Anolis sagrei: one gene and its partners. The protein of the gene in region 1 purifies or fractionates together with the protein of each later gene. This does not show direct contact. Links are inferred from orthologs where the notes say so. Each region holds a gene or a part of one and is shown on either strand. Other genes may lie near its edges. The genes, in order: RNF7, ASB6, TULP4 and RAB40C.

What was found.
Region 2: the proteins of RNF7 (region 1) and ASB6 purify together in Homo sapiens (co-immunoprecipitation; 4 studies listed by BioGRID and IntAct, counting the BioPlex papers as one, with this or other methods). This does not show direct contact. The link is inferred for Anolis sagrei from reciprocal best matches to the Homo sapiens genes RNF7 and ASB6.
Region 3: the proteins of RNF7 (region 1) and TULP4 purify together in Homo sapiens (co-immunoprecipitation; 3 studies listed by BioGRID and IntAct, with this or other methods). This does not show direct contact. The link is inferred for Anolis sagrei from reciprocal best matches to the Homo sapiens genes RNF7 and TULP4.
Region 4: the proteins of RNF7 (region 1) and RAB40C purify together in Homo sapiens (co-immunoprecipitation; 4 studies listed by BioGRID and IntAct, with this or other methods). This does not show direct contact. The link is inferred for Anolis sagrei from reciprocal best matches to the Homo sapiens genes RNF7 and RAB40C.

Annotation. Positions count from the first base shown.
Region 1 is NC_090023.1:236,793,713-236,800,792, forward strand, and holds the start of RNF7 (RING-box protein 2), read left to right. Parts: upstream 1-4,059; 5' UTR 4,060-4,152; coding exon 4,153-4,336; intron 4,337-7,080. Other genes in the region: uncharacterized protein, read left to right, coding at 726-737. UniProt on the Homo sapiens protein: Catalytic component of multiple cullin-5-RING E3 ubiquitin-protein ligase complexes (ECS complexes), which mediate the ubiquitination and subsequent proteasomal degradation of target proteins.
Region 2 is NC_090031.1:3,738,595-3,745,672, reverse strand, and holds the start of ASB6 (ankyrin repeat and SOCS box protein 6), read left to right. Parts: upstream 1-4,061; 5' UTR 4,062-4,144; intron 4,145-5,860; 5' UTR 5,861-5,872; coding exon 5,873-5,985; intron 5,986-7,078. UniProt on the Homo sapiens protein: Probable substrate-recognition component of a SCF-like ECS (Elongin-Cullin-SOCS-box protein) E3 ubiquitin-protein ligase complex which mediates the ubiquitination and subsequent proteasomal degradation of target proteins.
Region 3 is NC_090021.1:69,018,161-69,026,038, forward strand, and holds the start of TULP4 (tubby-related protein 4), read right to left. Parts: upstream 3,011-7,878; 5' UTR 2,800-3,010; intron 1-2,799. UniProt on the Homo sapiens protein: May be a substrate-recognition component of a SCF-like ECS (Elongin-Cullin-SOCS-box protein) E3 ubiquitin ligase complex which mediates the ubiquitination and subsequent proteasomal degradation of target proteins.
Region 4 is NC_090034.1:27,646,660-27,653,538, reverse strand, and holds the start of RAB40C (ras-related protein Rab-40C), read right to left. Parts: upstream 3,021-6,879; 5' UTR 2,907-3,020; intron 1-2,906. UniProt on the Homo sapiens protein: RAB40C small GTPase acts as substrate-recognition component of the ECS(RAB40C) E3 ubiquitin ligase complex which mediates the ubiquitination and subsequent proteasomal degradation of target proteins.

The DNA of each region.
Region 1 (7,080 bases):
ACCATCCCACGCCAGAGCTCCCTGTCGGCCGTCACCTCCCCCAGCTCCTTCAGGGTCAAGCCAGTCACTTCAAGCATGCCATCCATCCATCTTGCCCTTGGTCATCCTCTCTTCCTTTTTCCTTCCATTTTCCCCAGCATCATTGTCTTCTCTAAGCTTTCCTATCTCCTCATGATGTGGCCAAAGTACTTCAACTTTGTCTCTAATATCCTTCCCTCCAATGAGCAGTCAGGCTTTATTTCCTGAAGTATGGACTGGTTGGATCTTTTTGCAGTCCAAGGCACTCTCAGAACTTTCATCCAGCACCACAGTTCAAAAGCGTCTATCTTCTTTCGCTAAGCCTTCCCTATGGTCCAGCTCTCACATCCATAGTTGATTACGGGGAATACCATTCTTTTAACTATGCAGATCTATCCAGATTTTGCATTATCATTTATCATTCTGAGTCCAGGAAGAACTGGAAATGCATAGAATAGAGGAAGAGTGTCATCTATTCCTTCTCCTTCTAATAGATTATTGGTGTTATTACTATTGGTCTGCAACTGTGTATATGCAATCCCAAATTTTGTCTTGTGTTATTATTCAGCCCATAACAATCCATTTACATCATCAAGTTATCTGCATATTTCCTCCCGTTGAGTGCTGGGGTTGGGCTATTAGCTTACTTTAACCAATACCAAACCTTGCTGAAATTTACTGACATTTGCTTTGTTTTTATTTTACAGAAAATTAAGTGATTATAAAGTTTCCAGAAGATATAAAATTCAAGAGGTTATCAAAGTTCAGCAATTCTTTACATGATGCTCTACTTTTGGAAATACTATGTTGTGTTCTCAGTTTCTTCTTATGAATATCCAGAATAAGTTGATACATTTTTAAATTTTTACAAGCTTTATTTATTGCATTAAAATAAAATTATGCAACTGCCTACAAATAAAAACTAAACACTCTACATAGCAACTTAACACCCACATTGGCTCTCTTCAACTTGTATTATTTTGAAGTGGGATGTCAGTGTTATTTATAAATAACAGTGTATTATTTATAAATACACTCAGTGTATTGCGAAGTTTATATATCATCATCGGCTTTGTTTGTATGCTAATTATGTAACAAAATATATATTATTTCAGATGAAGAACATTTTAAAGGACCATCATAATTCATTCTGTCTTATCTTGGAGGGGAAAATGTACTGAGGTTGGGCTGGCTGCCAAAGAGCATGACTGCCCAGTTCTGTAGCTCCTTCTTTCACTACTTAGTCAAAATAAATTAATACCCTTAAAATGGTGAAATTATTACAACAAAAATGCAGTATTGGCTGTGGGGCATAACAGAGTACCCACATACACAAAAAGATTAATATTGGAAAGCTTTCTACCTGTCACAAACACCAATTAATTGCAGCACTCGTACAAGTTTGTGGGCCTAAAGACGGCACTTGCCTCTTACAAAGCCTCTCAAGGAAGCAGAACACAAATGCGCAGTCCCAACAAAAGCTCTTTCAAAACCAAATTGCAGAAATTTGGGGCAGATTTCAAAATCTAAATCCTTTCTCGCTACTGCTCTAATACCACTGAATTAGAGCTACCACAGCTAATAAAACCCTTGATAGTATCCCCTAAAATTACTAGGACCTCCGGGATGGTGCACATGACAATCTTTACATTACAACTCAAAGTTGAGGATCTGGGAGGAATAATTTACGGTCCAAGAATGTTCCTGAGTCCGTAGAAGGCAACTACACAATGTTGGCCAGGGTTCTTAAACATTTCCACTTGGGACCACTTTTGGCCCAAGAATTGTTTACATGACCTCGGATATATTTGACATATAAGATAGGTATAAAAACCGAACATTTACTGATAACAAATCAGCATTTGTAAGTCTTGCTAAGCAGGCTGATTTTCCTTTACATGAAGTACAGCTGAAGCATTTTCTGTAGAGTCCACTGTAAAAACTGCACAATAGATCCATGTAAATATCTAAACATAGCCATAAGATGACAGTCAGGAAAAAAAATTGTGAACTGAACATTGAACTAAGGGGAGCCCATTTGGGGTCAGAGCTAGAGATGGGAAGGCCTGGGGGGGGGGGGGGAACCAGAAAAATGGGGGAAAGTATTTTTTTCAGTGTTTTCCCCAATTTTTCTGCCCTGTGACGGCGCGTCTGGCGCAACTTGTATGTAAATATATAGTTGAATTGTTTGGTTATCTACAGTTTTCTATCAATGTCGTTTTACATCGGCTAAATTGCTCCCCCAGCTCAATTGTTTGGCTCCACCCCTTCCTAGGGAGGAGGGCAGTGCTTTCTTTTTCATTCTACCACCAAACTACTCAACAGATGGACGTGAGAAAGGCTTGGCTCTAAGGCCTTAGTCAAGTCATCTTTTACCAAACATTCTTAAGTTTGTACTCTTAAGATTCATACTTCATGCCCAGCTCATCTGGATGACATTGAGGAATCTTAAGCGCCTTCAAACCAGTCCTTTGGCATCAAGAAGACGACTTTGTGCCTTCAATATAGGTCATTGGACTGGGGTTGTGAATGTTCCGACTTCACAGCCATTGAGATACAGGGAACTTGGAAGCTACTCAGCTGGAAAACTCCTTGGACCCAAGACTCCAGAGACTGTAATGTATATTTTCTTTACCTCTTTTGGAACATCAAGTTTAATGCCTTAGAAAGATAACTGCTTGTGAACAATAAAGCCTATTTTGAGTTATCTATAGTGTCTTGATTCTTGAGAGTTCCAGTTCTCTAAAGGAAGGCAAGAAGCAATCCCCTGGGGAAAAGACGTCACGTCCATGTTTCTTTCACTAAGAACTATAGCCCCCAGACAGCGACGGCATATGCCCCCTGCCTGGGCCAACTATTTTTCTTTTGTTTCCAGGTCTTCCCATCTCTAGGCAGAACTCATGGTTTAAGAAGCTATGATTTAGGCAGTCTTATCATGGTTTTCAGAACTGCGTCCCACAGAGAACTGCACCTTTAATTGCCAAGGATGTAGAGATGGCTCCTTACATGGTTGTCATGAAATCATAATTGTCATGCCTCCATGAAGATCCTCACTGTTTCCTTTATTTAAGTCCCATTTTTAGTTAGAGGGGATTCACATTTTATGTATAGTTTGTGAAGAGGCAGATAGATAGCCCCCTTTCCTTTAAGCCCCCCTCTCTCTGTCCCTTTAAGAATCCTCTTAAGGGCAGAGATTCAGGCTATACCCAGGCTTGGACAAACCAGCCCTCAAGGTGTTTTGGACTTCAACTCCCACAATTCCTAACAGCCGGTAGGAAACACTGGAAATAACACTTGGGCCCCCAACATAGGTAGGATTTCTTTCCATAAAGGGTACCTTCGAATTACGTACTATCTGGCATTCTCCCTAATTACAACTCTTTCTAAAGCAATAGGAATGTGATCAGTGACAAAACAGCCATGACTCTGACTCAGATGTTATACCGGGCATGGGCCAACTTGGGCCTTCCAGGTGTTTTGGACTCCAACTCCCACAATTCCTAACAGCCTACCGGCTGTTAGGAATTGTGGGAGTTGAAGTCCAAAACACCTGGAGGGCCCAAGTTGGCCCAGGCCTAGTGCCTGGCATCTCTAATGATAACTCTTTCTAGCAGTGGTTCTCAACCTGTGGGTACTTGGGTGTTTTGGTCTACAACTCCCAGAAATCCCAGCCAGTTTAGCAGCTGTTAGGATTTCTGGGAGTTGAAGGCCAAAACATCTTGGGGGCCCACAGGTTGAGAACCACTGTTAAAGCAATAGAATGTGATCAGTGACAAATAGAGGCATGGCTTTGTCTCAGACTTCATACTCAACCTGCAAAGAAAAGAAAGCAACTGGATTGCTGTCAGACCACCAACAAAGTGTTAGGAATGGTGGGAGTTGAAGTCCAAAGCACCTGGAGAGGCAAAGCTTGCCCAGGCCTGGATTTGGAGGCTCACAGGCCTCTCTTCCGGTTTCCCTGGCAGGCAAAGTGCCTCAGGTACCCGGAAGTGGGTGAGCAGTGTGGCTTTTCCTTCCTTCCTCCGGCCGGCAGGGGGCGCCGGCGAGGAGAGGAGAGAGGCGAGAGAGGCGGCGTGGGGCCTACTCGTCGTAGTCTCTCTCTTCCTGCTCCTGCTGCTCTTTCCGCTCGCAGCCATGGCCGACGTTGAGGACGGAGACGAGCCGGGCGTGTCGGTGGCGCCTCACGCGGGCTCCTCCGGCTCGAAGGCAGGCGGCGGCGTGGACAAGATGTTCTCCCTCAAGAAGTGGAACGCCGTGGCCATGTGGAGCTGGGACGTGGAGTGCGACACCTGCGCCATCTGCCGGGTGCAGGTCATGGGTGAGTCAGGCCTGGCTTGGTTTGGGGGCTTCTCGGCCTACGGGCACGGGCGAACTTAGGCCTGCCGCCCTTCAGGGATTTTGGGTAAGCGAGGCTCTACTGTATTTCCATGAACCTGGCCATAATTTGAAACCAACATTTAGGGCTTTGTTCTGAGTGCCTGTGGATCCCCCAGTGGCATTGTGGGTTGAGCAGCTGAACTTGGTGGTTCCAATCCAGGGAGCAGGGTGAGCTCCCGCTGTTAGCCCCAGCTTCTGCCAACTTTTGTTGTTGTTCATTCGTCCAGTCGTCTCCGACTCTTCGTGACCTCATGGACCAGCCCACGCCAGAGCTCCCTGTCGGCCGTTACCACCCCCAGCTCCCTCAAGGTCAGTCCAGTCACTTCAAGGATGCCATCCATCCATCTTGCCCTTGGGCGGCCCCTCTTCCTTTTGCCTTCCACTTTCCCCAGCATAATTGTCTTCTCTAGGCTTTGCTGTCTCCTCGTGATGTGGCCAAAGTACTTCAACTTTGTCTCTAGTATCCTTCCCTCCAGTGAGCAGCTGGGCTTTATTTCCTGGAGGATGGACTGGTTGGGTCTTCTCGCAGTCCAAGGCACTCTCAGCACTTTCCTCCAGTTCAAAAGCACCTTCGCTCAGCCTTCCCTAAGGTCCAGCTCTCACATCCGTAGGTTACTACAGGGAATACCATGGCTTTGACTAGGCGGATCTTTGTTGCCAGTCTGATGTCTCTACTCTTTACTATTTTATCGAGACTGGACGTTGCTCTCCTCCCAAGAAGTAAGTGTCTTCTGATTTCCTGGCTACAATCTGCATCTGCCAACCTAGCAGTTTGAAAACCTAGCAGTTCGAGGGAACCACTGACCGCATAAGGAAGCTGATGAGGAAACACAACATACAAACTATCTACAGACCCACCAAGAAAATCCAACAAATGCTACGTTCAGCAAAGGACAAGAGGGATCCTCTCGCTTCTGCAGGAGTCTACCGTGTACCATGCAGCTGTGGACAAGTCTACATAGGGACCACCAAACGCAGCATTGCCCACCAAAAGGTCGGTAGTTCCAATCCAGGGAGCAGGGTGTTAGCCCCAGCTTCTGCCAACCTAGCAGTTTGAAAACCTAGCAGTTCAAGGGAACCACTGACCGCATAGGGAAGCTGGTGAGGAAACACAACATACAAACTATCTACAGACCCACCAAGAAAATCCAACAATTCAGCAAAGGACAAGAGGGATCCTCTCACTTCTGCAGGAGTCTACCGTATACCATGCAGCTGTGGACAAATCTACATAAAAGGTAAAGGTAGTCCCCTGACATTAAGTCCAGTCATGTCTGACTGGGGTGTGGTGCTCATCTCCATTTCTAAGCCGAAGAGCCAGCGTTGTCCGTAGACACCTCCAAGGTCATGTGGCCGACATGACTGTATGGAGCGCCGTTACCTTCCCGCTGGAGTGGTACCTATTGATCTACTCACATTTGCATGTTTTCGAACTGCTAGGTTGGCAGAAGCTAGGGCTGACAGCGGAAGCTCACACCGCTCCCCGGAATCGAACCTGCAACCTTTCGATCAACAAGCTCAGCAGCTCAGTGCTTTAACCCACTGCGCCCCCTTTCCTTTTAGCCACCTCTCCCTGTCCCTTTAAGAATCCTCTTAAGATAGATATCTACATAAAAACTCCAACCATCACCCAAGTCAAAAAAAGAAACACCATTAAAGCCTTGGCAGACCGTGCAAAAAGAATCTGCGAACCCCACCTCCTCCAAGATGAACTGAACCACCTCAACTGGGCTTTACAGGCCAATGGATACTCCACCTCAGACATCAGAAGAGCTGCAAGACCAAGAACAAGCCACGAGAGTAAAGACAAAGACCCACCCCGAGGAAAAGTGTTCTTGCCATACATCAAGGAAACCACTGACCGCATAGGGAAGCTGATGAGGAAACACAACATACGAACTATCTACAGACCCACCAAGAAAATCCAACAAATGCTTCGTTCAGCAAAGGACAAGAGGGATCCTCTCGCTTCTGCAGGAGTCTACCGTGTACCATGCAGCTGTGGACAAGTCTACATAGGGACCACCAAACGCAGCAGTGCCCAAACACGAATCAAGGAACATGAAAGGCACTGCAGACTACTTCAACCAAAGAAGTCAGCCATAGCTGACTTTACGGCCCCGGCCCAGCGTACCTGTCCAAACGTATCTCCTTCTACGTCCCACCTCGGAATTTAAGATCGTCTGGGGAGGCCCTGCTCTCGGCCCCACCTTTATCACAAGTGAGACTGGTGGGGGCGAGGGACAAGGCCTTCTCGGTGGTGGCCCCTCGCCTGTGGAATGCACTCCCCAGGGAGATTAGGTCATCAACATCCCTCCTCTCCATCAGAAGGAAGTTAAAAACTTGGATGTGGGACCAGGCCTTCGGGTAAGCTGGCAGTGGACAAAAGACAATGACGACCAGAGTAGGAAAGGACAATGACGATGCTAGAGGGATCATGGATTTATGAATCGACGAACATTGGCCACAATATGTTTTTATTGCTGCGGCTGTATTGTTTGATTGTTTTAATTAGTTATAATTGTTGACGATATATTGTAATTTGTATGTTGTATTTTATGAATTGTCAGGCATCGAATTGTGCCTTTTGTAAGCTGCCCTGAGTCCCCCCTAGGGGGTTGAGAAGGGCGGGGTAGAAGCACGCCAAATAAATAACTAATAAATAATAAATAAATAGCAGAGCAA
Region 2 (7,078 bases), on another chromosome or scaffold:
TCATAAGCAAGGTAATGGCCATATCTAAATAAATCTCCATTGGATGGGAGCATTGGGATTTGTAGTTTCCCAAGAGCCTGAGGTGCAAACTATAGGTCCCAGGATGCCACAGCATTGGGCATGGCAGCATTCGTTCAATAATACAGACACATCGTAAGCAAGGTAATGGCCATATCTAAATAAATCTCCATTGGATGGGAGCATTGGGATTTGTAGTTTCCCAAGAGCCTGAGGTGCAAACTATAGGTCCCAGGATGCCACAGCATTGGGCATGGTGGCATTCGCTCAATAATACAGACACATCGTAAGCAAGGTAATGGCCATATCTAAATAAATCTCCATTGGACGGAGGCCTTGGGATTTGTAGTTCCCCAAGGGCCTGAGGTGAAAACTATAGGTCCCAGGATGCCACAGCATTGGGCATGGTGGCATTTGTTCAATAATATAGACACATCGTAAGGAAGGTAATGGCCATATCTAAATAAATCTCCATTGGATAGGGACCTTGGGATTTGTAGTTCCCCAAGGGCCCGAGGTGCGAACTATGGGTCCCAGGATGCCATAGCATTGGGCATGGCGGCATTTGTTCAATAATACAGACATGTTGTAAGCAAGGAAATGACCATATCTAAATAAATCTCCAATGGATGGGGGCCTTGGGATTTGTAGTTCCCCAAGGGCCCGAGGTGCAAACTATAGGTCCCAGGATGCCACAGCATTGGGCATGGCAGCATTCGTTCAATAATACAGACACATCGTAAGGAAGGTAATGGCCATATCTAAATAAATCTCCATTGGATGGAGGCCTTGGAATTTGTAGTTCCCCAAGGGCCCGAGGTGCAAACTATGGGTCCTTGGATGCCACAGCATTGGGCATGGCTTTCATTGAATAATATGGATGCTTCCTTAGAAAGATAACATTCACAGCTCCGTTCTATTGAACCCTGGGATTTGAAGTTTCCCAGGGGCCTAAGCTGCAAACGGTGCAAACCCAAGGAGGCCGTGGCATTGAGCAGGGCGTTCATTTTCGATAATATATAAGGTTTTTGAGGGGGGAGCAGCCGGGCGGCGGCGGCGCCGGAGTTCTTGGGCCTGAAGAGGCCCTTGGGAGACGGCGTTTTCCTGGAATTTGGAGGGAAAGGCTTCAAAGGGAAGGCAGGCAGGCAGGCCTTGGCAAAAGCCACGCCACCAGGCTGGGAGGAAGCCTCTCTTCCCCGCAGAAAGGCAGGCCCAGTGGAGCTGCGCCTACACTGCAGGAGTTAATCCAGTTTGGCACCACTTTGGCGCCCTGGGAGTTGTAGTTTGCCAAGGCCCGGAGGCTTCTCAGGCTGCATTCCTTCCCCAAACTCCCAGCATAATAGGATGTATGGCTGCATGGTCCCAGGCGGGATATCATATTGTGAAAATGTGATTTAAAATGTAATATATTATATGCACATACAAACACATACACAAACACATACACATACACACCAGGCCTGGACCAACTTGGGCCCTCCCTCCAGGTGTTTTGGACTTCAACTCCCACAATTCCTAACAGCCTACCGTATATATGTATATGTGTGTGTTACTAAATTATTATTATTTTGTAAATGGGCCCTTGGTATCAACCGTAATTAAAAATGTATTTTTAAAATATGGATATTTGATTAATATTACTAAGTTATTTTGTAATTTTCTTTAAAGAATGGGCCCTCAGTATGCACTGTAATTCAAATGTATTTTAATTCAGGGTGTTTGTGTGTATATATATGTTAATAACACACACACACATATATATATCACATTATATATATGTGTGTATATATCTCTCTGTGTGTGTTGTTAACACATTAGTAATATTTTTATGAAATATATATCCCAAAAATCCATAGAGGAGACAAGATAATATTTTTTTATTTTTGTTTTGTTTTTATTATATTTTAAAATTGTTTTTATTTTAATTTTATTTCAATTTCATTATTTATTTATTTATTTATATTTTTTAATATCTATCTAATATTTCTATCTATCCCTTTATCTCTCTATGTATTTTATCTAGCCTATCTATCCTTTTATCCCTCCATCCATCCCTTTATTCCTCTATCCATCCATCCATCCATCCATCCATCCATCCATCCATATATCTCCCCTCTCTATCTATCTATCCAATTATCTATCCACCCATCCCTCCATATATCCCTCTATCTATCCATCTCTTTCTTTATACCTCCATCTATCCATCCCTTTATTCCTCTATCCATCTATCTGTCTATCCATCCATCCATCTACCCCTTTATTCCTCCATCCATCCATATATCCCTCCCTCTCTGTCCATCTGTCTGTTCATCCATCAATCCATCCATCCCTTGATCTAACCCTCTCTCTTAACTATCCATCCATCCCTCGAGCCATCCATTCATCCATCCATCCCTCCCTCCATCCATCCATCCATCCATCCATCCATCCATCCATATATCCCTCTATCTATCTATCTATCTGTCTGTCTGTCTGTCTGTCTGTCTGTCTATCCATCCATCCATCCATCCATCCATCCATTCATTCATATATCCCTCTATCTATCTATCGATCTATCGATATCTATCTATCCATATATCCCTCTATCTATCTATCCATATATCCCCCTATCTTCTATCTATCTATCTATCTATCTATCTATCTATCTATCAATCTATCTATCTGTCTATCCATCCATCCATCCATCCATCCATTCATTCATATATCCCTCTATCTATCTATCTATCTATCTATCTATCTATCTATCGATCTATCGATATCTATCTATCTATCCATATATCCCTCTATCTATCTATCCATATATCCTCCTATCTTCTATCTATCTATCTATCTATCTATCTATCATCTATCTATCATCTATCTATCATCTATCTATCTATCTATCTATCTATCTATCGATATCTATCTATCTATCCATATATCCCTCTATCTATCTATCCATATATCCTCCTATCTTCTATCTATCTATCTATCTATCTATCATCTATCTATCATCTATCTATCTATCTATCTATCTATCGATATCTATCTATCTATCCATATATCCCTCTATCTATCTATTCATATATCCCCCTATCTTCTATCTATCTATCTATCTATCTATCTATCTATCTATCTATCTATCTATCTATCTATCATCTATCTATCATCTATCTATCATCTATCTATCATCTATCTATCTATCTATCTATCTATCTATCTATCTATCTATCTATCTATCCCTCTATCCCTCTATCTATCTATCTATCTATCTATCCATCCATCCATCCATCCATCCATCTATCCATCCATCCATCCATCCATCCATATATCCCTCTATCTATCTATCTATCTGTCTGTCTATCCATCCATCCATCCATCCATTCATATATCCCTCTATCTATCTATCTATCTATCTATCTATCTATCTATCGATCTATCGATATCTATCTATCTATCCATATATCCCTCTATCTATCCATCCATATATCCCCCTATCTTCTATCTATCTATCTATCTATCTATCATCTATCTATCCATCCATCCATCCATCCATCCATCCATCCATCCATCCATCCATCCATCCATCCATCCATCCATCCATCCATCCATCCATCCATCCATCCATCCATCCATCCATCCATCCATCCATCCATCCATCCATCCATCCATCCATCCATCTATACCTTTATTCGTCCATCCATCCGTCTATCCCTTTATCTCTCTCTCTCTCTCTCTCTCTCTCTCTCTATTGATCCATCGATCCATCTATCGATCCATCTATCTCTCCCCCCATCCATCCATCCACCCACATGCCTACCTACCTACCTACCTACCTCTCCCTCCCTCCCTCCCTCCCTGCCTGCCTGGGGCGTGCTCCTTTCCTCTAGTTAGGGAACACCGCCCTCCGGTGGCCGTGGGAGGCGCTGCAGGGCTTTTGGCGGAGAGCAGCCGAGTTCCCCCCGGCCAGCAGGTGGCGCCAGAGAAACCAAGCCCAGGAGATAAACTGCATTTTTGTTTTGTTTCCAAATCTACCCAAAAGCCCTCCTTCCTTCCTTCCTTCCTTCCGCTTCCTTTTCGGCTGGAAGGGAAGCCGCCTTTGCAAAGGAGAGACGCGGAAAAAGAAGAGGTTTTGCAGGAGAGAAAGGTGAGCGAGTGCAGGGGGAGACTCTCCTGATCTATGCATTAAATAATATATATTATTTTATGTTGTATTGAATATAATAAAATTAGTATAGATCAAATATCTATAATATTATATTATATTGAGTAATAATGTCCCAGATTAAATAAAATAATATAATATATAGTACATTAAATGTTATTTATTTTACTGTATTACATTTAATATCATATACATTATATTATTTTAAATCATATAATAGTTCCAGATTAAATTCAATAAATAGAATATATAGTACATTAAATGTTATTTTATTTATTTTACGGTATTAAATTTAATATAATATACATTATATTATATTAAATATTAGTACCAAAGTAAATCAAATAAATAGAATATATTACATTAAGTGTTAGTTTAATCACTCTCAACAAAAGATTCTCCCCAGGCACTTCCAAGCCATTATGATGTTAACTGTTTTTTATACTGTGTTATGATAACATTGAATTTTTGCTGTTCTGGTTGTTAACCGCTGTGAGTCGCCTGGCTGAGAACAGCGGTATACAAATAAAGTAAATAAATAAATTAAATGCTAATCAAGGTGGTCAGTTGAGACATTCACATCTAGCTCCAGCAGACAAGAGTCCTTTGTCCCACCCTGGTCATTCTACAGATATATAAACCCATTTTCCTAACTCCAACAGAACTCACTACCTCTGAGGATGCTTGCCATAGATGCAGGCGAAACGTCAGGAGAAAATGCCTCTAGAACATGGCCATATAGCCCGGAAAAACCTACAACAACCCATGAAAGCCTTCGACAATACATCAAATGTTATTTTATTTATTTTACTGTATTAAATTTAATATAATACACATTATATTATATTAAAACACATAATAGTTCCAGATTATATAAAATAATAGAATATATATTATATTCAGTGTTATTTTATTATGTTACGTGTAATATCTATAATATATTAATGTAATGTATTAAAGCATATCATCCAGATTATATTTAATCATGTTATTTTTATATTACATATAATATGATATATATCAAACTTAATGTTACATCATATAAGCATTCCAGATTATGTCAAATCATATATATTGAATTTAATACAATAATGTATTATATTAAAACATACAATTGTACCAGATTATATTATAATAGATATTATGTAAATATGCTATTTTATTAAATCTTATATCATATTAAATTTAATAAGATATTTCATATTAAATCATATAATTGTTCCAGATTATATTAAATAATAGAGCAGATATTTGATTCGATGAAATAGAATAAAATATATATTTGATATAAATTGTATTAATTCATATAAGCATTCAAGATTATATTAAATAGTATAATTATATATAAAATATTACATGTTCCTTTTAATATAGAAGCTTATAATATCAATATAATAAAATCAAAAATAAATATAATAAATCATATAATCGTTGCAGATTATATTCCGTTATAAAGGAACTCTTGTGTTGGGGTTTCAGATATATCGTTATGCATGTGCAGATCTCCCCAAATTGGAAAGAAATCCCAAATACTGGTTCCAACCATTTTGGAGAAGGGACACTCCATATCAACGATGATGAATGCAAGACATGAACCATGTGGGGACTCAGGTCCGGCCGCAAAGGCATCTCATTATGCATATGCAAATCTCCCATAAGAACCATGCTTTTGGGATAAGGAGTGTTGCTTGCTTTCAGGCCGGACGGACGATGCCCTTTCTGCACGGCTTCCGGAGGATCGTTTTCGAATACCAGCCGCTGGTGGACGAGATCCTCCTCGCTTTGGGGCTGCAGGGGGCGGAGCCTCAGGAGGGCCCCAAGAGGTAAGATTTATTTATCCTTATCCTAGTATTGTAATACTGGAGCACTTTATTACTGTGATTCATTAGCACTTTAACGAGGGGATAGTTTTCCGGTAGTTGTTACTCTAATGTTGCGCTTGATTTACTATTTTAAGCTGATAGTTGCTTGTCTCACCTTGCACTTTATAATTGTTGTCAACATTGGGAATGTTTCTGGAAAGAACTGGAGGGTATACCATGAAACCGGAAAAATGAATTATAATAATGGAAAAAAGGAGGATACATCATTAGGTTTGAACTTGGATGTAACATGTAACAGTGCAATATTAGATCCTCAGAATATGATGAGTGGAGAGGGCTGGAGGGAGGGGGGGAGTTCTGTGGGTCGGGGGGCCCCCATAGCGGTGATGGTGGGAAGGGGGAGATACGGGAAAGGGAGAAGCAAGAAACCAATTCGGCTAATTCGCGAAACAACCCTAAAAAAAATTCCAAAATGTTCTCCTGACAAGGTAAACTTGTGTACCAAGGTAGACGACCCTCCTAGATTGAAGGTGGTGCTGTTGAATGCCAGGTCTGTCAATGGAAAAACGTCAACTATCCGGGACTTAATCTACGATGAAAAGGCAGACCTGGCATGCATTACAGAGACCTGGTTGGACGAGGCGGGAGGGGTCAACCTCACCCAGCTTTGCCCGCCAGGCTACTCTGTGCAGCACCAGCCGAGATCAGGAGGGCGGGGAGGCGGAGTTGCAGTAGTCTATAAAGATTCCATCTCCTTGGTCAGGTGCCCTGCCCTACAGTCAACCTTGTTCGAATGTGTCCACCTGAGGCTAGGAGACCGGGACAGGATAGGGATTCTGTTGGTGTACCGACCACCCCGCTGCTCCGCAGATGCCTTACCTGAGCTAGCAGGGTTGGTCTCAGGCCTGGCATTGGAGTCCCAGCGGCTCATAGTGCTGGGGGACTTCAATGTCCATGCAGAGACCACTCTTTCAGGAGCGGCTCAGGACTTCATGGCCGCCATGGCAAACATGGGGCTGTCCCAACGAGTATCTGGCCCTAACCACTGTGCTGGACACACACTTGACCTGGTTTTCTGTCAGGGATGGGAAGA
Region 3 (7,878 bases), on another chromosome or scaffold:
ACTCTTTGGCAGAGAAGGCTAAAGACTTTGTAAAACTACAACCCCTATGATGCTATAGCAGTGGTTCTCTACCTGTGGGTCCCCAGTTGTTTTGGTCTTCAACTTCTAGAAATTCTAACAGCAGGTTAGGTAACAGCAGACTGGGATTTCTGAGGGTTTTAGGCCAAAACACCTGGGGACCCACAGGTTGACAACCACCAGTGGTTCTCAACCTGGGGTCCCCAGATGTTTTTTGCCTACAACTCCCAGAAATCCCAGCCAGTTTACCAGCTGTTAGGATTTCTGGGAGTTGAAGGCCAAAAACATTTGGGGACCCCAGGTTGAGAACCACTGCACTAGACTATAGCATTGAGTCATGGAATCAAACTGAATTCATTCTACAGTGTAGAGATGCACCACTTCTCAATTCCATGTTCTATTTCCTTAAGAGTTTTAGCATTCAAGCCTTTTCATATCTGAACCATCCAGCATCACCAGAAATAAACATCCAAAAACATCCAAAAACGTCTGGCTCGAAAGACGAGGCTGGCCTCGTTGACTTATGAGGGCCAGACTCCTCCTGGAAAGGCCACCCAGGGCCCTTCCACATAGCCCATAACCCAGAATATCAAGGCAGAAAACCCCTGAACTGGGTTATCTGAGTCCACGCTCAGATAAAGTGGGATTTTCTGCCTTGATATTCTGGGATATAGGGCTGTGTGGAAAGGCCCTGGGTGGGCTTTCCAGGAGGAGTCTGCCCCCCCCCCCCCCCCGTAAATCAATGAGCCCAGCCTCTTTTTCAGGCAACACATCTGCCTTTCTAGTGAGATAATCGCCACCAGGTACACCTTTGTAATGCTGGAGAGTCGATCCCTACGCAAGGTTACAAAACAACATTTCTCAGACGGCTACAATCTCTTGGAGAAAGAGAGACCGCTTTGCTGCAAACCCCAGCCCTCCAAACAAGGGGCTTCATTCAGACACACTGCCTCCTTTCCATACATCCTTTTAGATTAGAGGCTAGACAAAAACATAGATGTATGGAGAGGGAGGGAAGGAAGGAAGGAATCAGGTGGTCCAGCAGAACAAAAGAACATGTAGCAGAAGGCACTTGGCTCTCGGTGTGAGTGTGCATTTCCTCTCCACACACACACACGCACACACAATTCCTCCTTACTCACTGGATACCCTTCAACCTACCAACCCACCCCTCTGGGCATCTGATCTCCGTATTCCCACACACAGAGATAAACATAGATATAAATGCACACAACACACAGACATAAATATATACATAAACACACAAATACCAATCTCTTCTTTCGTATTAGACACCCCTAGACCCTTCATACCCGCCCACCTACCCCTCTGGGCAACCTGGTCTCCATAATCACACACACATACATATACATAGATATAAACACACACACACATATAAATATATACATAAACACACACACAAATACCCATCTCTATTCTTCTCATTAGACATCCCTATATCCTTCAAACCCACCCACTCCCCCAATGGACAAACTCCATATTCCCATATACAGACATACATACATAAGCACACACATATACATACATACACACACACACACACATTCACAAAGATATATATACTATAAATTAAAAAAACACATACAAAATATGTGTATATATATGTGTGTGTGTGTGAGAGGGTTTGTATACACACATACACATAAACACTATATATAAACATAATATTTATGTGTGTTTGTATATGTAATATGTGTGTATATGTGTTTGTATACACATATACACACATATATATTATATATAAAAACACATATATGCAATATCTATGTATATTTGTATATATGTGTGTATATATGTTTGTATACACATATATACTATAAACACACATACACAATTTTAAGTGTTTGTATATATGTATGTATATATGTTTGTACACTCACATACACATATATGTACAGTATATATATATATATATAAACACACATACACAACATTTATGTGTTTGTATATATGTGTGTGTGTTTTATATGCACATATATACACTATATATAAAAACACATACACAATATTTGTTTGTGTATATGTATATATGTGTTTGTACACACACATATATACACTATATATATAAAACACACATATACAATACTTATGTGTTTCTATATATGAGCATATATGTGTTTGTACACACACACACATATATATATACACTATATATAAAAACCCACATACACAATATTTGTGTATGTGTTTGTATATACACACATATATACATTATACATATTAAAACACACATACACAATTTTATGTGTTTGTATATATGTGTCTATATGTGTTTTTGTATATACACAAACACACATATATATTATGTATGCAAACACATAAATAAATATAGGTACTGTTCCATGATCAGGGATGAGGTATACTTATATACTATATATAAATATAAACACCTATAAACGTGTATACATGTATACTTCCCACACACATTTCTATTACACAGAGAGAGACAAACAAGCCTCGGTGGAGCACAAAAGAGACAACAAACCAATGCACCTTGATGTGCACAAAACAGCAGAGGGAGAGGATTGGGAGAAGGGGGAGCATAAAGGCACCAAGGCTCTGTCATACACAAACAAACACACACACATACAAAGCGACCCTGCATCTTACAAAAGGGAGGCAGGAGAATGGGAGGAGAGAAAGAGAGGATGGAAGGGGGGGGGGGTTGCAAAGAGCTGCTGCAATCCGAAGGCGGGTGAAAAGGAAGGAAGGAAGGAAGGAAGGAAGGAAGGAAGGAAGAGGAAGGGGCGCCTGGCTGACCTTTCTCTCCTCCCCTCCTCTCTCTCTCTCTCTCTCTCTCCAAGGAGTCGGCTTGCACTCGCCCAGGCTGCCTGGCTTCCCTCCTCGCCAGCTTGGTCCCCGTTGCTGCTGACAAGCCCAGCCTGGCTCTCCTGGCCGTGCGGCGGTGGAGGCTGCTTCTGCTTCTGCTTCTGCTGCTGGGCCTGGCTCCCTTTCACGTGACGCAGCCACATGATCTCACAGCTCGCCTTGCGCTCAAAGCCCCGCCGCCACTGCCGCCACTGCCTCCGTCTCGCCTGCCGCCGCGCTCCTCCGCTCGCGCGCTCGCTTTCTCTCCCACAGCAATGGATGGAACGCCAGCGAGCAGCGCGCCTCTGAGCGCGTGCAGAGTGCGCTTTCGGCTTTGGCCCCGGCGTCGCGTGGGTTAGAATCCTAAAAGGTTAAGATCCTCTCTACACTGCAGTTTAACACCACTTCAATTACCATGGCTCAATACTATGGAGTAATGGGAGTTGTCGTTTTTGACAAGGCCAGAACTACCGCTCCAATGCTCTTATAACATTAAGCCATGGCAGTTAAAGACCCATCCAAGGCTCTGTCTATACCAGGCATGGACCCCAAGGCTCTATACCAGTGGTTCTCAACGCCTGGAGGGGTCACGAGGGAATGTCAGAGGGGTCACTAATGACCACCAGAAAACACAGTATTTTCTGTTGGTCATGGGGGCTTTATGTGGGAAGTTTGACCCAAATCTGTCGTTGGTGGAGTTCAGAATGCTCTTTGCTTGTAGGTGAACTACAAATCCCAGCAACTACAACTCCCAAAATGTCAAGGACTTTTTTCCCCAAACTCCACCAGTGTTCACATTTGGGCATGTTGAGTAGTCGTACCAAGTTTGGTCCAGATCCATCATCGTTTGACTCCACAGTGCTCTCTGGATGTAGGCGAACTACAACTCCAAAACTCCATGTCAATGCCCACCAAACCCTTCCAATATTTTCTGTTTGCCATGGGAGTTCTGTGTGCCAAGTTTGGTTCAATTCCATTGTTGGTAGAGTTCAGAATGCTCTTTGATTGCAGGTGAACTACAAATCCCAGCAACCACAACTCCCAAATGACAAAATCAACTCCCCCCCCACAACCCCACCAGTATTCAAATTTGGGCGTATTGGGTATTTGTGCCAAATTTGGTCTACTGAATGAAAATACATCCAGCGTATCAGATATTTACATTATGATTGATAACAGTAGCAAAATGACAGTTATGAAGTAGGAAGGAAAATAATTTTAGAGTTGGGGGTCACCACAACATGAGGAATTGTATTAAGGGGTCGCAGCATGAGGAAGGTCGAGAACCCCTGCGCTATACAGGTCTGGGCCAACTTGGGCCCTCCAGGTGTTTTGGTACAACGGGTGGCAGCCAGGTTACTAACTGGAGTAACTTACAGGAAGTGGTCAACCCCCCTGTTTAAGGAGCTCCATTGGCTGCCGTTCATTTTCCGGTCCCAATTCAAGGTGGAGGTTCTTACCTACAAAGCCCTGAATAGTTTGGGACCCACCTACCTGCGTGACCGCATTTCTGTGTACAAACCCACGCGATCTCTTCGATTATCTGGAGAGGTCCTGCTCTCACTCCCACCCCCTTCACAGGCGCGATTGGTGGGAACAAGGGAGAAGGCCTTCATTATAATGCATGCACAAAACTAATATATACGCAAACACACATATACACAGACTGGGCCACAGCAACATATGGCAGGGGATGACTTGTAATAACACTTTTTTAAAAAAAATCCACATTAATTTACAACAGCCAAGTAGAGTTCCCAAAATAGTGTGGGGTGGTTGTGTGGTCAAACGATGGACATTGGACTGGAATGGACTAGGAGAGTCCAAATACAAAATAGTTCTCAACCAAGACCCAGTAGTAATCTCTCATTATGTAATCCGCCTTTCTATATGCATTTCACATCATAGTGCCAGTGTAGAAACAGGCCTAATACCAATTAATAAATTGTTATTTTTTTGAAAGCAATAGCATGGATTTTTTTATCGTGTCAGAGGCAAATTGAGAACACTGCAAGTTGCCTCTGGTGTGAGATAATTGGCTGTCTGCAAGGACGTTGTTCAGGGGATGCCCAGATATGCCACCATCCTGTGGGAGGCTTCTCATGTCTCCACATGGGAAGCTGGGGCTGACAGATGGGAGCTCACCCTATTTTGCAGATTTGAACTACCAACCTTCAGGTCAGGAGTTCAGCCGACACACGTGTTTAACCCAATGCGCCACCGCAGCTCCACAGGGTGGACATTGAGTCTGTGGGGTTCCATGCTCAAACAGGAAGACAATGTAGCATCCCCCATGCTGATAGAAAGTCGAGACACGTTAATGCTGAAGACATTTAAAGCAGCTTGGATGCAACAGCACAGTGGTGTGTGTGTATGCATGTGTATATATATATACACACACACACACACACACACACATAATGATACAGAACTGTAGTATGTTGTTACATGAGTATTGCTACACCCTTAATAGTTTTCTTAACAGTATTGTAATGTGAAATAGTTCTAAACTTTCAGGGATTGTGCGTGTATCAAGTAATCCCTTTTCAGTGTGTTTTAGTATACAGTAATGTGTTTTGTTGATAATAGGCTTTTCATTTTTCCTGGAGATTTAAGAGCATCCCCTTGCTCCCTATATCATTACTATGGCACTAAATCTGATGACACATCTATTGATGGAGCTAGCTTATCTCAGCCTTTGTTGTTGTTGTCATCATCTTGGAGGAACTCTTGAAATAATGTTCTAGACTTAGGGAACCCCTGCATAAAAATTATATCCCATCACTCGAATGTTAATATTATTTCAATTTCCTGCAAAACCCCAGCAAACCCTCACAGAACTCTAGTTGAGAAATTCCTTTTTAAAGTCTTATATAAATATAATGGTGAAATGAACTTCCTTTAAGGAGAAAAGGCATTTCCTCTTTCTCCTCATTGGAGTCATTCTGCCTAACCTCATAGAATTTAAGGCAACTCAATTGCAACCCATGTCCAACGTATTAATTCGGAGGGGAAAAACACACTTTTTAATTTAATGGTGAATGAAAAAGAAAACATTGAGGCAATGACATATATTTTCACGATCTCAAGAATTTTCTTGGCCAACCAGCATGGAAAATAGACCAACACCCATGGAAGTTTATAGTGAGATACATCTGTAGGTAAATAAACTCAGTAATCACAGCTGGGATGGAAAAATTCAGACTTTCAAAGCCGCAAGCAAAACTTGGCAGTTGTGGAATCAGATGAGAACGACAAAACCAGTGCTTCAGGTTGTTACATTAATGACTGAGTTGTTTACAGATTTGCTGCTTTGATAATCTGGATTATATGGCAGTGTAGAAGGGGCCCAAGTCAGCCTGTCATCAACAGTCTTGCTCAGGACTTGAAAATTCAGGACAGTTTCCTCCGTTGTGCCCGTTCATCTGGAATGGGGTCTTCCTTTTTTCCTGCTGCCTTCTGCATTACCAAATTTATTGTCTCTTCCAGTGAGCTATGTCTTGGCATGATATGACCAAAGTACAGCACTCCCTGTTTAATAAACTTGGCTTCTCGAGAGAACTCAAACTGGATTTGCTCTAAGGTAAAGGTTTTCCCCTGACATTAAGTCCAGACATATCCAACTGTGGGAGCTGGTGCTCATCTCAATTTCTAAACTCAAAAGCTGGCGTTGTCCATAGGCACCTCCATGGTCATGTGGCTGGCATGACTGCATGGAGTGCCGTTACCTTCCCACCGAAGTGGTATCTATTGATCTACTCACATTTATATATTTTCGATTTGCTAGCCCAGCAGAAGCTGGAGCCAACAGCAGGAGCTCATGCTGCCCCTTGGATTTGAACCTGTGAACTTTCAGTCAACAAGTTCAGCAGCTCAGTGGTTTAACCCACTTCTCCATTTGATTTGCTCTAGGACCCACCTATTTGTCTATTTTGCAGCCCATGGTATCTAACTCTAACCAAGTTTATTTCTTTCACTGACCAGCTTTCATAACCATACATAGAAATTGGAAATATGGGGAAATGAGTGATCTTAACTCTAGTATTCAGTGCTATAATGTGACACTCCAGGAGCCATTTCCTTCATAGCTGCCCTTCCAAGTCCTCAGCCTCATTCACACTGCCCCTATATCTCAGGATCTGATCCTAGATTATCTGTTTATCCCAGATTATCTGGCAGTGGAGATTCATATAATCTTGTTTAAAGCAGATAATCTGGGACCAGATCCTGGGATTTGGGTAGTGTAGAAGAGGCCAAAGTCTTTTGATTTGTAACCACAGTTTCCATTCTGATTAATGACTGAGCCAAGTTATGGAAAATCTTCTACTTCCTAGTATTTGTCTCATGAATTCACAGGGTCCACTCGTTTGCTTCTTGTTCTCTACTTGTTCCTATTGGCCACATCTCTCATTGTTGTGTCTTGCTTTAGCCACGTCGCATTTCAAATGGTCAAGCCAGCGCATTCTAGGTCTACCGCGTGGCCTGGCACCTGCAACTTCCATATTCAGCACGGTTCTAGTCATGGAGCCCTCATCTCTGTGTTGCCCATGTCCAAACCATCTCAGATGGGATTTCTTAATCTTCTCGACAATCGGAGCAACTCCGAAGATTAAGTGCACTATATCGGTTGGAATCCTGTCCTTCAGGGTAACACCCCTTGATCACTTGACCATTCACATTTCCATAGTGTGCAGAGTTTGCTCGATGGCCTTAGTGGAAAATCTTTAATTCAATGTCTTTGTGATATACTTTAGAGTTATGTAAGTCAACTCTGGTCATTATTTTAGTTTTCTTAATGCTTAACTATAAACCTGACTTTGCTCCTTTTTCCTTGATTTTCTTCAGTAATCATTCCAAGTCTTTTTTTTATTTCCTGCCAATACTATGGTGTCATCTACATATCAGGTTCCTTCCTCCAGTTTTCATATTTGCTTCCCCTGAGTCTAATCCTGCTTAAGATATAATATGTTCAGCATATAAATTAAAGAGAAAGGGAGTTAAAATGCAACCTTACTAGATTCCCATGCTAAT
Region 4 (6,879 bases), on another chromosome or scaffold:
TATAGAAGAAGGGGGGAAGAATAGCAGTTTAACAATGTTACTTAACACTTATTAAGCAACACTTCCAAAATGATATGTATATCACAGCTGATTGCATGGCAAGTGAGATTATTATTCCCTCCCTGTGATGCAGAGGGAGACTGAGAAGAGAGTGCAGTTTAGCTAAAACCAGATACTGGGTTTATTTATGGGAGAGGCCAGATCATTACCTGGGACTTCCTGATTTGTAAGTTGTTTTTGCTTACAAGGTGCTTCCCAGAGGCACAACCATACAAAAGTTATGGCACTAGGGGCTCAGATCCCTTATTTGGCAGCCAAACCTGGACGCTTTGACTCCATCTATACTGGCCATTTTATGCAGTTTTCAATCAAGTACTCAAGAAAGTAGTTTCACGGTACAGAGTATTGCATCAGAAATCCTAGGACCAGTTTGAAGTCCGGAGGCGATGTCACAAATCACAGAGCACTAATGCACATTCAGGACTTTCTCTCACACACTTCTGTGGGAGTTTGTTTTTGGATGCCCAGAGTTTGAAGCTAGCATTAAATGGTCAGTGTAAATGGGGCCTTAATGAGTGAGCACTCTTATGCATAGAAACACAAGAGTTGGAAGAGACTAGGACCAAGAGGACTGAAAGCAAGGATTGAAGTACAGTTGATCTAACTTTAATTCAGCCACCACTGAAGTGCATTTGAACTCCCTTTAATTCAACTGTGATTTAATTCAGTAGCTCTGTTTTTAGCAATATCTTAGGATCCTAGAGTAGGAAGAAATGGGTCATCCAGTCCAAGCTTATTCTGCCCTGCAGGAAATGTATAATTCAAACACTCCCAACAGATGGGCATCAAGCCTCTATTTAAAGACCTCCAGAGAAGGAGACTCCACTGGACTGGCATATTACACGTTCTTCCTGATTTTTAGGTGGGATCCTCTTTTCTTGCAATCTGAATATTTCCAAAATAAAAAATATCAATATTGTTGGAAGGGATGGGAAACAATGATTGAGGTACATTTGAACTCCCTTTAATTCAAAAGGTGGTTTAACCCTGTAGCTCTTGTTTTTTTTAGCAATTATCTTAGAATCCTAGCATTGAAAATAACCCCAAAGGCCATTCAGCCCAATCTTATTGTGTCAAGTAGCAATACACAATCAAAACATTCCCAACGGATGACCAACCTCTTAGGGGGTTGGACTAGATGGTCCATGTGGTCTCTTCCAACTCTATGATTCTATATTTAGGTGGAATCCTCTCTTTCTGAGTCCCTCCGGGGAGATAGAGAGGAATATAAATATAGTTATTATTGTTATTATTATTATTATTATTATTATTATTACTATATATTCCTGCAATCTGAATCTTTAAAAGAATCAATCTTGTTGAGAGGTATGACGGTGATCTCTAAATGCATTTGAACTTCCTTTAATTCAACGGTGGTTTAATAAACCGTAGCTCTGTTTTTAGCAGTATCTCAGAATCAACAGAGTTGGAAGGGATCTTAAGGGCCACCCAATCAGGTTATTCTTCCATGCAGGAACCCGCAACACAAGCATTCCTCCTTGCTTAGGAAAACCATATGAAATCCATGGGGTCACCCTATGCTGACAAGTGAAGCTCCAGTTACACTGCCATATAATCCCATCTCTAGAACCGTCTCTGAGGATTATTATCTGCGTTGAACTTGATTATATGGCAGAGCGAATCCAGCCTGACTCCCTTTAATTCAACAGCGGTTTAACCCTGTTGATCTGCTTTTGGCAACCTCCTACAACCCCAAGAAAGAGACCACAACAGCCATTATTATTATTATTATTATTATTATTATTATTATTATTTTACTGACACAAAAACACAGCAAACGAGATATATATGCTGGATTTTGCATCAAAAATCACAAGTTGAACACTTCCCAAGTGTCTAGAACTGTGTGATGTATTTTCGAATAATGCGCACAGCTCCAAGTAAGCTGGCCTTTTGCAGGTGACAGAGTGTGACTTTGTCAATGTTTATTGTTTCCAAATGCTGGCGGCCATTATCATCATCATCATCATCATCATTCTCTGTAGTTCTTTGGCAATCTCTTACAATCCCAAGGAAGAGACATCAAGGGCCATTATTACTATTATATTATTATAATATATTATTATTATATTCCCTATAGCTCTGCTTTTGCCAATCTCTTTGAATCCCAAGGAAGAGACCCCAATTGCCATTATTACTATTATTATTTCTACTACTATTATTATTCTATTCCCTGTAGCTCTGCTTTTGCCAATCTCTTATCCCCAAGGAAGAGATCTCAATGGCCATTAGTGCGATTATTATTATTATGTAATATACTATTAACTTGGAATATTACTATTATTATATTATTATAATATTCCCTGTAGCTCTGCTTTTGGCAATCACATCTCGCCATTATGCTTACTCTTAGGCTTATTCTTATTATAATTATTGCAATATCATATATTACAAATATATAATATTTATAGATTAATAACATCATTTTTATTATGTTCCTTGTATTTCTGGTTTTGGCAACCTCTTACAACCCCAAGGGTCATTATTATTATTATTATTATTATTATTATGTTATATATTATCATCATTATAATTATTCTTAAATTCCCTGTATCTCTTTGGCCATTATAAATTATTATTATTGAAGATCTTTCAATACAATTTTAATAAAATCTACAAGCATTCATATCAGGTTTAATTATCATTGGCATTACATTTTTAAAAACCCCTTAAAATCCGCATTCAAAACTAAACCAAAAACCCACCCAGCATGGCCTGCCTGAATAAATAAATAAATAAGAAAAGACCCGGGCCGGGGCCCATTCGGCGAGGTCACGATCAGAACCCTCCCGACAGATGTCAATCCCCTCCCGTCTAGGCCTCACCTGCCCGCCTGCCTGTTTCCTTCCTGCTTCCTCCTCCTTCTTCTCTGAGTCGGCCGCGCTCGGCTCCTGCACGAACGAGCCAACGCAGCGGCTACGGCGTCCTCCCATAGGCTTCCCTACACGTCAATCAGCAATGATGAGCGGTGGGCAGGGAAATGCAAGCGAGAGTCGCCCTCCCACAGGTTCCCCCGCACGTCAGTCAAACCGCCCTACCTTGTGTATTTTTTCTCTCTCCAGCCTCCACAGGTGCCCCATCCAATCAGGAGCGGCAGCCGTGGAAAAAGTAAAGGAGAGCGGCACTTCCATAGGCTCGTCTGCACGTCAGTCATCCCATCCTTCCTTGTGTTTGTTCTCTCTCGCGCCTCCTCAAGTGCGCCTCCAATGACAAGCGGCGGGCGGGGAAAACGCAAGGAAGAACGGCCCTCTTATAGGCTGCTCCGCATATCAGTCAGTCCGCTTTTCCTTGTGTTTTTTTTCTACTTCCCGCCTCCTCAGGGGGGTTCCTCCACTCAGGAACGGCGGGCGGGGAAAAAGCGAGAGAGAAGGGAAAGGCCTGGGAAATGTCACTCAGCCTGAAGACGTTTGATCCCGCCCTCTCAGGCTGACGCGCCCAATCACGAGCCGCGAAGGATTGGTGAGCGGGGAGAGAAGGCAGAGACAGAGAGAGAGAGAGAGAAGGGGAGGGACCATAGACTACTCGTCCCGGCATGCAGCGCGCGGCCTTGGTGCGCTGACGCTGAGCGTGAAATAAGACAAAGCATGTTGGGAAGGGGAGGAAGAGTTCCTTCCTTCCTCATGGCGTCTCCATGGCAACAGGGCTCTCCCTCTGGCCTCTCCATACACACAGGCCCCTTTCCTTCCCCAGTGACGTAGAGGAAGACAACTTCACCTAGCAACGGCTGATCTTGGGTCATGACAGAGGGTCACTTCACCTAGCAACGGCCAAGCCAGTGACATCGTAAAAAACCACCGGATTGTCACCTAGCAACAGCTTTTTGTACAAACAGACAGACATACCTGACTGTATATGTATATATATGTCTCTCTGTGTGTGTATGAATGTGCATTTCATAATGTGTGATTAATGTATCTTTTATTAGAAATGACCTTGATTTACAGGAGTTCTAGTTCACCTGCATCCAGAGAAAGAGTGACCCCCACCGACAATGGACCAGGACCAAACTTGGCACAGAGAAGCCCCATGACCAACTGAACATACTGCAGGGATTTGTGGGAATTGGCCTTCATTTTGGGAGTTATAGTTCACCTACATCTGGTGACCCCCACCGAAAATGGACCAGGACCAAACTTGGCACAGAGAAGCCCCTTGACCAACAGAAAATACTGCAGGGATTTGTGGGAATTGATCTTCATTTTGGGAGTTGTAGTTCACCTACATTCAGAAGAACAATGACCCCCCACCAACAATGGACCAGGACCAAACTTGGCACAGAGAAGCCCCAAGACAACTCAGTGTTGGGCTTTGTGGGACTTGACCTTGTTTTTGGGAGTTGTAGTTCACTTGCATCCAGAGAAACAATGGCCCCCACTGACAATGGACTTGGACCAAACTTGGCACACAGAAGCCCCATGACCAGCTGAACATACTGCAGGGGTTTGTGGGAATTGACCTTCATTTCGCAAGTTGCAGTTCACCTTCATCCAGCGAAACAGTGACCCCCATCAACAGTTGACAGGAACCAAACATGACACAGAGAAGCGCCATGACCAAGTGAACATACTCAGGGGTTTGTGGGAATTGAGCTTGGTTTGAGGAGTTGTAGTTCACCTGCATCCAGAAAGTACTGAACAGAGGCAACGTCAGATCTGGACCAAACTTGGTGCACAGACCCAACAGAGCCAACTATGCATACAGACGGGGTTTGGGGGCAATTGCCCAGGGAATTTGGGAGTTGTATCCAGAGAGCACTAAACTCAGCCAACGATGGATCCGGACCAAGCTTGGCACACAGACCCAACATGGCCAAGTGCGAATATGTTCCGCCTCGTAGTCTTAAGATCTGCTGGGGAGGCCCTGCTTTCGGTCCCACCAGCTTCGCTAATGTGACTGGTGGGGATGATGGACAGGGTCTTCTTGGTGGTGACCTCGCTGCCTGTGGAATTCACTCCCCAGCGAAATTAGATCAGCGGCCTCCCTCCTTTCTTTCAGAAGAAAACTGAAGACGTGGTTGTGGAACCAGGCTTTTGGCTAATGGATTTAACGGCACCAGAACAGTGAATTGGACCAGACGGTTGTTACAATGGAAATGCCTTTATGATTGGATAACTAATGCTGTTTTAATGTATCGTACTGTATGATTTTATTTTGCTTTATTATTGTAATTATTGCAGCATTGAATTGTTGCCTTTGTTAGCCGCTCTGAGTCCCCCTGCGGGAGTGAGAAAAGCAGGGCAGAAATGCTGTAAATAAATAATAAATAAATACTGTCAAGGTTTGGAAGTGATTGCCCTAGGAATCCAGGAGTTGTAGTTCACCCTCATCCAGAGAGCATGGAACCCAGCCAACAATGGATGTGGATCAAATTTAAAGTTTTGGGTTTTTTTTAATGTCAGGAGCAACTTGAGAAACTGCAAGTTGCTTCTGATATGAGAGAATCAGCTGTCTGCAAGGACATTGCCCAGGGGACATCCGGATGTGTTTCCATCCTGTGGGAGGCTTCTATCATGTTCCTGTATGAGAAGCTGGAGGTGACCAATGGGAGCTCACCCCGCTCCCCAGATTCGACCTGCCGACCTTTCCGTCAGCAGTCCTGCCAGCACAAGGCTTTAACTCATTGTGCCAGTGGGAGCTCCACCAAACTTAAGTGATATTACCTAACATCCCAAAACAAACAATGCCTTCTTCTAATAACCCGGGCACCTGCCCAATAAATCCCAGTGTTTGTATGTATTTTCCAAGAAGGCCCCAACTTTCAGGGAGCACTGTAACTCCCACCAACAATGGATCTGGACCAATCTTGGCACACAGAAACCCCATGGCCAACAGAACACACAGGAGTGGTTTTGGGGGGAATTGACTTTGAGTTGGGTGAGTTGTAGTTCACCTACATCCAAAGAGTATTGCAAACGCAAATGACAACATGTGGATCATACTTGGCACACAGATCCAACATGGCCAACTGTGAGCACTGGTGGGGTTTGGGAGTGATTGACCTTGGAATCTGGGAGTTGTAGTTCACCCACCTCTGGAGAGTACTGAAACCAGCCAACGACAAATCTGAACCAAACTTGACTCACCCAACATGGCCACCTAGGAATACTGTCAGGGTTTGGAGGTGATTGACCTTGGAATATGGGAGTTGTGGTTCACCCACGTCCATGTATCAAATATATGAGAGGAAGTCATAGGGAGGAGGGAGCAGGCTTGTTTTCTGCTGCTCTGGAGACTATGGTTTCAAACTGCAAGAAAGGCGATTCCATCTGAACATAAGGAAGAACGCCGCCCTGAGTCCCCCCTTGGGGGTTGAGAAGGGCGGGGTAGAAGTGCCTGAAATAAATAAATAAATAAACTTCCTGACTGTGAGATCTGTTCAACAGTGGAACTCTCTGCCCCGGAGCATGGTTGAGGCTCCTTCTTTGGAGGCTTTTAAACAGAGGCTGGATGGCTATCTGTCGGGGGTGCTTTGAAAGCGATTTTCCTGCTTCCTCACAGGGGGTTGGACTGGATGGGCCACGAGGTCTCTTCCAGCTCTATGATTTTATGATTATGCTTTTTCTAATGGAAGCAATCATAAAAAGCAAATTATTAAACTGATATTTCTAAACATAAAAATCGACTTTTTTCAAATAACCTGTGTACCCAAGCTAGCCTGCCTGCTATCTATCTGTCTATCTATCTATCTATCTATCTATCTATCTATCTATCTATCTATCTATCTATCTATCTATCAGAAGCCTCAAAAGAAAAAAGAGACGGGGGACACGAATCCAGGGATTCTCATGGCTGCCAATC